2 linked regions of the Drosophila melanogaster genome follow. The main gene of each other region encodes a partner of the protein of the gene in region 2 in a complex. Each region holds a gene or a part of one and is shown on either strand. Other genes may lie near its edges.

The links.
Region 1: Pcl (region 2) and HDAC1 share a complex: the UniProt entries of both Drosophila melanogaster proteins name them as parts of the form of the Esc/E(z) complex.

The regions. Positions count from the first base shown.
Region 1 is NT_037436.4:4,624,801-4,630,067, reverse strand, and holds HDAC1 (histone deacetylase 1), read right to left. Parts: upstream 3,335-5,267; 5' UTR 3,129-3,334; coding exon 3,086-3,128; intron 2,649-3,085; coding exon 2,536-2,648; intron 2,458-2,535; coding exon 1,212-2,457; intron 1,117-1,211; coding exon 953-1,116; 3' UTR 601-952; downstream 1-600. Other genes in the region: axo (axotactin), read left to right, coding at 1-252. UniProt on the Drosophila melanogaster protein: Catalyzes the deacetylation of lysine residues on the N-terminal part of the core histones (H2A, H2B, H3 and H4).
Region 2 is NT_033778.4:18,133,600-18,140,490, reverse strand, and holds Pcl (polycomblike), read right to left. Parts: upstream 5,066-6,891; 5' UTR 4,568-5,065; coding exon 3,080-4,567; intron 3,021-3,079; coding exon 2,848-3,020; intron 2,793-2,847; coding exon 1,718-2,792; intron 1,651-1,717; coding exon 1,255-1,650; 3' UTR 501-1,254; downstream 1-500. Other genes in the region: Hsf (heat shock factor), read left to right, coding at 6,411-6,620. UniProt on the Drosophila melanogaster protein: Polycomb group (PcG) protein.

The sequences.
Region 1 (5,267 bases), on a different chromosome or scaffold from region 2:
ACAAATGCCAATGGGTCCTCTCTGCCAGCGAGTCGGGTGAAAAATCCGGAGGAGCCGGGAGGAAAATCCCCATTGGTGCCGATGCGACAGCATCACTCGAAAGTGACGCGCCCACCCCCGCCGCCGACGCTTTTCCTGGAAAACTCACTGCTGCAGCGCCAGTTCGCGAATCCAATTAGTTACTTGGGTGGACCGCGTCTGCAGCCGCGCAGTAATCGCACCAGCATCGACTCGATATTATCGCTGGATTAGCACCGCAGCCAGTTTCCAGTTCTCCGCCCACTGCAATCCGTGGAAAACCTCGCCGACTAGTCACAAACTGTCAACTGGTGGGCGGGAAAACCCCCAGTGGATCCTTTTCTCCCCCCCAAATGCCACAATCTCCTCAACTTAGAAACTCAAAGTTAAAATCTTAAAAATTGTTAGCTAGTCCTAGTTAAAATACAAATAAATTGTTACAAATTATCGTTTAGTTTGTTACTAAGAAACCTAAATGTGGAAACGTAAGTATTTTGCTAAAAATGGGAAATCGAATACTTCCAAAAGAAAATATTTAAAAGATAGCAGCTCAATTAATTTTCCATTAAAATTAAAATCAATAAATGTATAAATATTTTTATTTGATTAAATTAGTTTCTGCGTTATTCGCCACATTGGATCGCTTGTAAGTATGCATTCACTTTTTGCTTAGCTATACACTTTCGATCTTAAAATAAATTGTGTTTCCGCCCACTGATTACTGATTTATCCCCCTTTGGGAATATTCCCACTGAAAAAAAGGAGCCGATCGCAGTGGGACCTTGTGTAGGGGCGTGTAGAAAAAGCCCTGGACATGGCTACGGGGCGTGTTGGTGAAGGGGGGCGCGGGAATGAGACGACACTAGGTGAAATCCGGTGGCTTGTACTTCGGCGGTCGCTTAATTGGCTTCTATAACCAATTGCGGCCGCCACGTCAAATGTTGTTCTCCTTGGCGCCCTTGGCCCCGGCACCGGAACCTGATCCCGAACCGGATCCGGCATTAGCTGTCGCTCCGGCATCATTATCGCTCTTGTTGTTACTGTTGTTGTTGCTATTGGTATTAGACGCCGTCGATTCCTCGCCATCAGCTCCGTCGCCTGAAAACAGCATAATGGTTTAGTTAGTAGGGTTTAAATACAAATTACAAGTGGTCAGTAGAACCAATTAAAATGACTAATGGTTAATCACTCACCCTTTTCCTTTTCGTCCTTGATCTCGCTGGACGTCTCTGAGGATGCCTTGTTGCTGTTGGTGTCCTTGTCGAGACGCGGCCGCTTCCGCTGACCCTTGTACGAACGGTTATCCCTGCGACCGCCTTCGCCCTCATCCTCCGAATCGGAGTACTCGTTCTCGGGCACAATGCGCTTGTCCTTGTCGCTCTGCGGCAGGCGATCATCCTTGTCGACCTTGTCCTCGTCGTCGGACTCATCGTTGATGGCATCCTCGGGAATCGCTTGGATTTGAACGCCCGGAGCGTGAGGCAGCATGCGCAGGTTCTCGAACAGACGGTTCTTGATCTTCTCCAGGTACTCGGATGTATTCTGATTCGTCATATTGCTGGGACTAATGTGCAGCTTAAAATCGGGCCCAAAGTACTCGAAGTAATCGTTGTAGGGCAGTTCGTTGGCTATCTCCACGGCCAGTGCAACGGAGGTCTCATAGGTCCAGCAGCGGGATACATTACGAATGGTATAACCACCACCGCCGACCATCAGGAATGGCAGGTTATATTTCTTCACGAACTCCACGCACTTGCCGTGACCCTTGACGGTGAGATTGAAGCAGCCTAACCGATCGCCAGTCAGCGAATCGGCGCCACACTGCAACACCACGGCTGCCGGCTGGAATGTTTCCATCACCTTGCTGATAATGGGCACAAATATGCTCTCGTACGCATCATCATCCATGCCATCACGCAGGGGTATATTCACCGCATAGTACTTTCCCTTGCCGGCGCCAATGTCTCGCAGATCGCCAGTGCCCGGGAAATACTCTCCGTACTTGTGGAAGCTGACAGTCATCACACGATCGGTGGTATAGAACGCCTCCTCCACGCCATCGCCGTGATGGACGTCTATATCTATGTAGAGAACACGCTGATGGTATTTAAGCAGTTCCAGAATTCCCAGAACAATGTCGTTGACGTAGCAGAAGCCCGAGGCTTCCGATTTTTTGGCGTGATGCAGCCCACCGCCCCAATTGATGCAGATCTCCGAGGCTTGCTTATTCAGTTTTACGGCCGCAGCTACGGATCCTCCGGCGGAGAGTTGGCAAAACTCGTATAGTCCATCGAAGACGGGACAATCTTCGCCGACATTGAAACGCTGCATCTGCTTGTTGTACTCCGACATGTTGTCCGGCCGAATGGATCGCAAGAACCGGACGTACTCGTCCGAGTGGAACTTGGTCATCTCATCGGCAGTGGCTTTATGGGGACGCTAGAATAGAGAAATTCGCGTTTAAATCTATCATATATATATATATATCTATCATCACATATTAATAAAGTAACTCACGTATATTTCCATTTTTCGATAGAGCCCATAGTTGAGCAGCAGGTTGTGGGTCATGCGTATGCGATGGGGCTTCATGGGATGACCCTGGCCATAGTAGTAGTTGCCAATGTCGCCTATGGATCAAAAATCGCAATTATGAGCACGTTGAAAAAGTAATTATTTGCCACGCTATGTGGAATACAAATTTTAAGGCCACTGTCGGCGAGGCGTCTGCCTGAGAGCAGCACTTTTTCCGAACGACCGCAGTAGTAGCACTTTCGCCCCGAACGAAAAAGCAACAAAAACACACAGAAGAGGAAGATAGACATCAGGTACATACACACACAAACGCATACAAACGCACTGCGGTCGTATGGAAAAAGTGCGCTGTGGACCGGAACGCGCTCGTACAGTCGCCGTAAAACTTGAAATTTGCAAAAATGCTATCATCTGATGCTAAGTGGATGCGGAAAAAACACAAAGTCGACATGGTAACCCTAGCTGGCACTTTGTAAACACAAATTACCCATCTAGTAGGCCTTTTACTTCCATTTAAATGCTCAAAACTTACTGTCGTAGTAGTAACAAACGCGCTTTTTGCTGTGAGACTGCATTTTGCGGTGCTGTTGGCGGGTCTTAAATCCCCTTAAAGTCGATGTTTTTCTATCCTTCGTCGATCGGATGAACTTGCGAGCTCAGAAGATGGTTTACTTTGGTGCCGGTCCGATTTTTGGCACTTTGGCGCAACTATATAGCCAAAATCGGAGCGCACAAGACAAATTCGCGAAGAGGAAACCTCTGCAGATGGGCAGTGTGACCGCGGACTTTTTTAAATCCACACTTCCCGGCTCTGCAGAATATACTTTTAATACTAACTGCATGAATACCGAAAATACCAAACAAATATATTTAATTATTTATTAAAGAAATATATTTAATAAATTTACATATGAAATACGATTACCCTCTTCATACAGAGTGGTCATTTTTTATTAGATATATAAACAATCAGACCTATGTACTTATCAAAAATTATCAAATATCACGACATATTTTTTGGAAAAATAGCAAGGATCAATTATAAGTTTATAAAGCAAAGTTTATTGGCTAAGATCACGTTGCAGAGTCTGAAGCTGGAACTAGAGATGTTGTTGGAAAACATTTAAGTTTAAGCATTCGAATAAACTAATTGATTTCAATATTTTCTATACAAATATAAATGATTCATTATAATTTAAGAAAAACAAAAACACAGAAGTAATAGGTTGTAGTCCGGGGTAAATAATGTTAAGTCGATTAATCGATAGGAATCCATGCTAATATCGAACTTGGCCCATCGCCAGAGGGTGCATTCCCTCTCTCTCTTTCAGAGCATCACCCATCTCGCTCTAAAATCCACCGCAGTTTCCCACGATTTTCCTTCTCACTCTAAAATTCACCGTTGAACGACTCGGACGCGATTTTCCAGCGCGGGTGATTTTCCTCCTCGGTCGGCGTTTTTCGGCGGCTTCTTATCGACAAACAATAGTGCTCAAGTACAACGAGATTTTGTAGTGTTTTGGAGTTGCTGAATTAGAGGCGATTGTTAATTGAATAAAATTAATAAAACGGCGACGCGTAAGTTTCCAACTCCCCCATGTGCAAGTGTGCGTGTGTGCCCTGTGTGTGTGTGTGAAAAAAGAGAAAGAAGAATGGAGTTGCAGTGGAAACACAAACACGCTCTCTCGCTCCATCTCCCTCGCACGCACACACTCACTGGGCGAATGAAGAAGTGGAAAAATTAAAACCGAAGTAAAGTGACAAAGCGAAGTGGCCAATAATGCAAGAAAAAACATATGAAACCCGCAGTGAACATTTAAAACAAAATTAACATTTTTCATAGGCGGCTAAAATATCCTGCGCAGCTTTTCTCTTTCCGACTTTTCTCTTTTTCCCTTAAGAGTCTTTTCCTATGCCTTTCCCCCTCGGAGACCAACGCCTCTCCTTCGCAACTTTCTGTTACTTTATGTTAACTTCTCCCCTTCTTTCTCTTGGTTTTCCTCCTGTATTTTTCTCTGTTGTTGTTGCTGTGCCCGCAGGATATTTAAGACCTTTTTTTGCTGGCGTTTAATTATAGTTTTCATTGCTCTCTCTCCTTCCCGCATCTCTTTTTCCAATTAGCGTCGAAGTTCGGCGTAAAGTAAACAGCAAAAATATAGTATTTGTTGTTTTTATTTGGCCCGCAGACCGTGCAGTAAAAACAACAACTTTAACAGGCGTAACTGTAAAGTCCGCTTTGCTTTTGATAGCAAATAAAGAGAATCGGAATCCGCAGCAAAGTTTTGATTTATTCTAATTAAAAAAGGTAAGTGCGATATAAAACCGGATTATAGCTCCTTTTCATTCGCACCTCCTTGGCCCGAAGTGCCGTTAGGAAGAGAAGCCAATGAACGCAAATAAGTAAACACAAAAACTAAAAAAAAGAGTGCTAGATTTGCTCTCCCGCTGCATTTCTATTTATGCTTCTGTGGCTGATAATGTGTACAGTGAAAAGTCGAAAGATGAAAAAATAATGAAGAAATGGAATAAAGCTTAACTTAAGGAATCTTAAGACTTGTTGTTTGTTATATTTCGACACATACTAACCATTTCTTCAGGCTTCTTTGCGCTTAAAAAAATACCCAATTGGAGTAAATTTGAAAAAAAAAAAACATTTCAAGCTTTATGATAATTTGGTTCTAAAAATTTATTTGCAACCACTAAATTGTGTTTGG
Region 2 (6,891 bases):
GTCTCATAAAACACAATCCAAAATTAGGAATGCAGTTTTTTTTTCTTTTAAAAATGAGCGTAGACTTTTAGAAAATGATTTTTTGGCACTGCACAGATATTAGCGTATGCTCCGAAAACCGAATCCCATCTTTGTAATTCCCCACTGTGCGAACTTACCTAAATCAGAGAATAAAGCGATGAGGCTGCAAGTCGACACTCCGAGAAGTGCTTGAGTACTTCTTTTCGTTCTCGATGGAAATCGGCACTACAGAGATTGAAGAATTTTTTAAGTTTTTTTTTTGTGTTTTTGTTTTTACGAAATAGACCACATTCAAGGATGGCTGAGGATAATTTTTTTTTTCTTTTTCCCGTTTTGAACGTCTGGTGCATGTGCCCTATCTGGCGATCGAGTACCTAATGAAGCGGTGTGAGGCGTCGGTGCCTGACAAGCTTCAAAGCGAAGTGTCACTTTGGGCGCCTACTGGCGTGTCCTGAGTAAAATCTTAAAAGATTTGACATTTCGGAAACATTTATTTGGGCATTATATACTTCATTAAACATATTTCGATCTGGTTTGGCCAAACATTTACTTGGCTTGAGAATTAGTTTGCTTTCAACTCAATTTTGATTTTTCGTAGCATTTAATAGTTAAACATAAAACGTACTGGCTTAATTCATTATTGTGTAGTTTTGCCTAGACTATGGGTGAAAATTATTGAACTAGTCCTACATTTTATTAAATTTGTGTGTATGTATGTATATCAATTGTTTTTTTTTTGTATGCATGACATGATTTGTGAGTTTTCCCATTTGAAGGTATATTTTTCAAAAACATACATGGGCGTGGCGTATCGCTAAAGTACAGTACTGAACTTAACTGAATTGTTCTCATTATTTAATACGTTTTCATTCATCAGCGAATTTTACATAGGCTTCCAGATTAATCTTGTAATACTTTTACCAATTTTGTGAAAACTTATTTATGTTCTGCTGCAACACTTAACTGCCATTGCACAATTATAACCTGTATTCAGTTGCTTTTTGCTTTTTTTTCGTTTTTTTTTTTTACAATTTAACATTTTATCGCTTTAATGCTGAACCAATATTTTGAACAATCTTTTTCTATTTTGGCAGTGGGTTGGTAATAAACTTTTAAACATTAACAAATAAAGAGGCCCGTAGTTGGCAGCGTTCATTAATACATAATAACGAAAAGAAATGATAATGGAAATGAAGAATATAAAATTCATAATGAGTCGGTATGCCAAAGGGTTCAATTTCCAAGCAATCCAATCGCCGTTGTCGCTGTATCTCCGCCCCACTCCACCAGGTACTGGACCTGTCCATTTCCCATGCGCCGCTTGGCCCGAATGGCAAAGGGCTCACCAGCATCTATGCGATTCATAGCGCCACCAAAGTACTTGTTCACCGACTGCTTCAAGTCCAGCATGGAATGTCCTGGGGCTCCAATGCCGTTGCTGCTGCTGCTGGTTGCCGTCGAGCTGGTGGAGTTCCGGCGGCTTTGGCTGGGTGACTGCTTCTGTGGTCGCTGGCGCAACAGGCGCCCATGTGTCGGCTTTCCCATTGGCGGCGCGGGTGGCTGCAGATCTTTGGCATAGATAGGAAGGTAGTGGCTGGGTATGGGATTGATGGTGGTGGTGCTGATGACCTATTAAGTGGAAACGAAAAAAACATCTCAAACATTATAGTTACATTGTTGTTAGTTAAACTCTTACCTCAATGGCCGTGGTCAGGCGGCGAGTGCGTCGTCTGCGCACTTCCTGATTGGGCCCTATCGTAATGTCTTTGGCACTCAGTCTTCGCTTGATGGTGCGCACCATGCGCGGCTGCTCCTTGGAGGTGCCCTTAAGCTTGAAAATGCTGTTTATGATGCCATTTACTCCGACTCCAGTTCCCACAGAAATACTTCGTCCCTGCGACGCCTTTTTGGGAGTGGCCATAAGGAATGGATTGTTGCGTCCCAAAAAGTTGACCGGCGGTGGTATGATGAGGTCCAACGAACTGGTTCCCCGACTGCTGCTTGAATTCTCGTCGGATGATAGATCACAGTGATTGCGGCTGTTGTCATAGCGTTTGGACAATCGGAAAGCCTTGCGCTTCCGACTGCTGTTTGCGTCCAGCAGAGGTGGAATGGGAGCTGGTAGTTTGCCGGGATCGCCATCGTTGGCATTGTCGTCGGCGAGGTCCGGCTTCAGTGGCAACTCATCATGCTTATCGGCCTTCTGAGCGGCCTGCTTTTTGGCCTTCTCAATAATCTGTTTGATGGGTATTTCGTCCTCGCTGGTCTCGACTGGGTCATCTTCATCTGTATTAAACTCATACACATCTTTGGGAACTCTTTTCGGAAGCTCGTTGGCACCTTCATCAGGCTCCTCGGGCATGAGCATTAGTTTAAATCTTTTTTCGAGCAGCTCATCGGACAGCTCCTCGTGGGGCTCAAGGAATACCTTGGGAATGTGTGGCGGGCCACTGTGTCTCAGTGCATAGAAGGCCGGAGCCCTTTTAAACTCCCTGCCGCAAACAAATCTGTCAGAGTAATCCTTAAGGGTTTGCTTGAGACGCTCCATCAGTGCCGTTTCGGGCAGTGTGCGCCACTTCTCGCAGATAGGCAGCTGGTGGCGCTGCTCGAGTATGAAGGGCCAAATGTCATTTAGCAGGTGATGGTACTTCTGGTGCTGATGCTTTCGCAGATTGTATAGTGCAATGTGGAGCACATCCACCCATTCGATTTGCATACGACGAACGAATTCTATGCCATTGTTGCAGACCGTGCAGCAGAAAACAAAGAACCTAGACAATGAGATTCATTTCAGTTTAGATCACAGTAAAGCAATTGAATACGTACATATCGCCGCGCAGCAGCTTCTTCTTGAAGTTCTGCATGCATTGGGTGTGGAACCAGTTCCGACATTTGCAGCACTGCAGCATATTGTGATCGAATTTTCCCGGTTTGCCGCAGTAGCAGTAGATCTGCTCTTCGTTGACCCGATGCTTCTCATCCCAGCTGAGCTTATCCGCCTGTGGGTAAAACCGGATTAAGAATCTAATCCGCTGGCTTGGGTTCGTAGAATACTCACATGGTAGGGCAACTGGCGACAAATTCCCGCTGGTTTTGTGATCTTATGGCTGACAGGCTGTTGCATTTTCATGGGTTTAGCGCAGCGTTTGCAACTCCAAATTCCACTGCCAGTAACAATTTCAACGGTGCAACCACGATGGTAGCCACGTCCGCAGCGCTCGCAAATTTCGACCACATCTTCGATATCCGATCGCTTGCAGGCCACGCACATGGGTCCACTGGGGGAGGTATTCGTGGATTCCGTGGTAGAGGCACCGCCTCCGCCAGCGGTAATCGAGCTACCGCCACCTAGCTTGCGCAGCTTATCCGGTTCACACCATTGCTCCGACTGGTCATCAAAGCGGATAAGATATTGATCGCTTGTCTGGTCAATAATGGTGCCCAGGTAAAATCTGCCATCGTTGCATTTGATGAAGACGTCCTCCTGAAGCGCATACGTGACCGCTGGCGAGGGAGCGGCAACTGGTGGTGCCGGCGGCGGTGGTGGTGGTGATGGAGGTGTTGGCGGCGTTGGCGGTGCTGCTTCGACGGTCTTGAAGCTTGGCTTCATTGAGTTGACGCCTTTGAGCAGCGATTGCGTGGCTAGTAGCGGAGGCGAGGGCGAACTTTTACCGGGTGAACTCATGGCCTCCGGCGTAGTTGGCGGTGTCTGTGGCGTTGTGGTCGTAGAATCCGGCTCATCCACAATCACAACTGCTGCTGAGGTGGTCGCGGTACCACTATAACTGCTGCTGGATACAGAACTGCTGCTGCAGCTGCTGCTATCCGCCGTGCTGCTGTCGATGAGGGGCAGGATGGCCTTGTGCTGGATGGCCGGTATGATGGGCGAAGGTTGTTGGGCCGTGGTAAGCGATGAACTTAGCGAAGTGGGCGTCTCCGTATAGTGGTTATTGATGCAAATGTTTATGCGGTCTAACACGACGGTGGAGGGCGGTGAGGTGGAATTGGTCACAGGCACCAGCGGCGGCGGCTGCAGTTGCTTGCCAGTTCCGCTGGCCGCCAGTAGATTGATTTGTCCCGCAGTTTGGCCACCGCCACTGGGCAAGTAGTACGACTGAACGGGAGCATATGTGGAGTGCGCTTCCTGTGGCGGCTTATTCAGACTGTATACACTTGGCGCCGTCGAGATGATTCGTATGTTGTTGGCCTTGAATGGGCTGCAGCTTGTTGCCGCCTGTTGCTTCGGTGGCGTTGATTGCTGAGCGAAACTGTTCGTGATCTGGATGGTGCTGGGATGTGTGGGATGCGTGGTCTGCGGCCCAGTGGTGGCATAGTATCGCTTGGCCACCGTGGCAGGTCCTACGCTGGGCGGCAGGATCTGGTAGGTGGTCGTCATCCACTGCGGCTGCTGGCCAGCTGGCTGTGCTAAGTAGCCGTAGGTGGCCGGAGGAGCTGATGGGACAGCGGTACTCGGCTGTTGCATGAACGGATGTGCCACGTTCTGCGGTGGATGATCGTGTTGCAAGTGAAAATGGTTGTTCATCATTGCGGCTGTGTGTGCGTGCTAGATGCGTTGATTTTTCCAGTGCGCAGTCTTTTGTGAAAAATATGGATCTTCAGTTCGATTTGCCGGCTTTTCGCGGCCCGTTTTTTCATTGATTTTGCGATTGTTTCCCGCTGATTAACACGAGCTCATTAATCTGGCGCCTTTTTCGTCGAATTTGTTGTTGCCCGCCGACACATACATGCACACTTTTGCTACACATACGGACTGGAGAGCGGGCCCTTTTGTATTCTCTGTGTCTTCCTCATTCGTACTTTTCCACACGCACCACAGGCACTTCTAGTTTCGGTTGCCGATTTACCCACCTTTAAGTGTGTTTCGAATCGTGCATTAAATTAGCATTTTGCTCTTATTGATTCGGCTATCGGCTTTGAACGTCGTTGTCCCAAGTTCATCTTTAACACCAGCGAAAATGCACAAAACAAATCACTTGAAAATTAATTTGTGTCAGCCATTTTTCAACATATGCCCACCAGTGTGACCGCATCCAACAATTGTTCTTTTCGTTACATTTTCATATATAAATCTACCACAACTTATGTATGTTATGGTAATAAAATTAACTTGATTAAAATAAATAAAGAAATATTGGAAATTTGTCACCACAATTTTACATTTTTATATTTTTAAATATATCGAAACGTATAAAATATACCATAAATTTACTTAATTATCCCCACTGTGCCGGCAAAGACTCAGCGGTCTCGTCCTGGAAAATACTAGAAAATACATTTAAATATTTCCTAAAGATTCAAAAACGTTAATATCATACATAATTTACATTTTAAATGTAGAGTGACAATTATTAAATCAAATTAAAAAAAATAAAACTAACATTTATATTAAGGTAAAACTTTTTGATTGTCAAAGTAAATCCTATAGAAATTTCAAAATGAATGTTAATTTTTTTAGTAAGTATGCCCTTTGTATGCTTTTATGTACAACTTATCTAAAATCAAACCAACTAATTTTAATTTTAACTCATAATTATCTTAAAGATATCAAATAGAAAATACCAAATACTAAAATCCCTATCCTTTGGTCTGCCGTATTAAAATCGACAGTTGCCTATCAATTAATGTTATGGGTACACATATCAATACTAGCTTTAAAAACAAATAACAGAATTTGATAAGTTTTTAGTATAATGATCATCTAGTAATTGGGGTCAATTATATGAATACGAAGTTGCGCGCCAGAAAATACTAGATAAAAACCAGAGGACCAAGCAGACAGCTAGCAATGGTATATATAGCAGCGAACTTTAGTTCGATAGGTTTTTACCAAATTGGTCACGCTGCGAACAGAAGCAATTTTACTTGACGGAGGTTTCATTAAATTTTCACTTGTGAATAAAACGCGAAAAAGCACTTAAAAACCGAAGAACTGTGTAAAACAAAAGCGGTACGCCAAGAAAGTGAAGTGTAATAACTAAACTAAACAAGTAAAACGCGAGTTTTTCACTTCGCGAAAGGTTTGTGAGCTGCAAAATTGTTAAGGTAAGTAGGTTGAGCAGGAGAAGAAGAACTGGAGCTCCATTTGTGCAAGTTGGTGGCTCGAATGACGCACTTGGCTGCAACCGAAAACATTCGATTCGATCAGAGCTGCAACTTTCACATCAAAATTGTACCCATATGTACATTTTACATATGTATGGTGTACCTGGACACGCACACTGATTCCCGCACCCATACACACACTTAAACACACACACATACAGCGGCGTGGAAAAGTGAACTGTAAACTGGAAAAAAAGCGTTTGTGTTGGTGTTGGTGTGCAGTGAATTCATTGAGTAGTACTCCTTTCCAGGCTGCTGGTCACTTTATGTCCAGGTCGCGTTCATCCGCTAAAGCCGTGCAGTTCAAGCACGAATCGGAGGAAGAGGAAGAAGACGAGGAGGAGCAGCTGCCTTCCAGGAGAATGCACTCTTACGGAGACGCCGCGGCCATCGGAAGCGGGGTGCCGGCCTTTTTGGCCAAATTGTGGCGCCTGGTGGACGATGCCGATACCAATCGCTTGATTTGCTGGACCAAGGTAAGCCTACGCCGCCATATTGTTTATTTACCTTTCCAGGGACTCCCCTCCCACCACATACCGCTAATCAGCATGGCAACAACAATGACTTGGCCATGCAGGTGTCTCAAGCTCTCTTTGTAGCGTTTCGCTCTCTGTTTTGTTGTTGCCCATGCCGCATCGCACGTATGCAAGTTGCCTTCCCCACACACTCATCTTGTTGTTGTTGTCGATGTTGCCATTTGCATGCGTACGTGCGTGAACTCTGGAAAATTTTCCATCTCCAACTGAC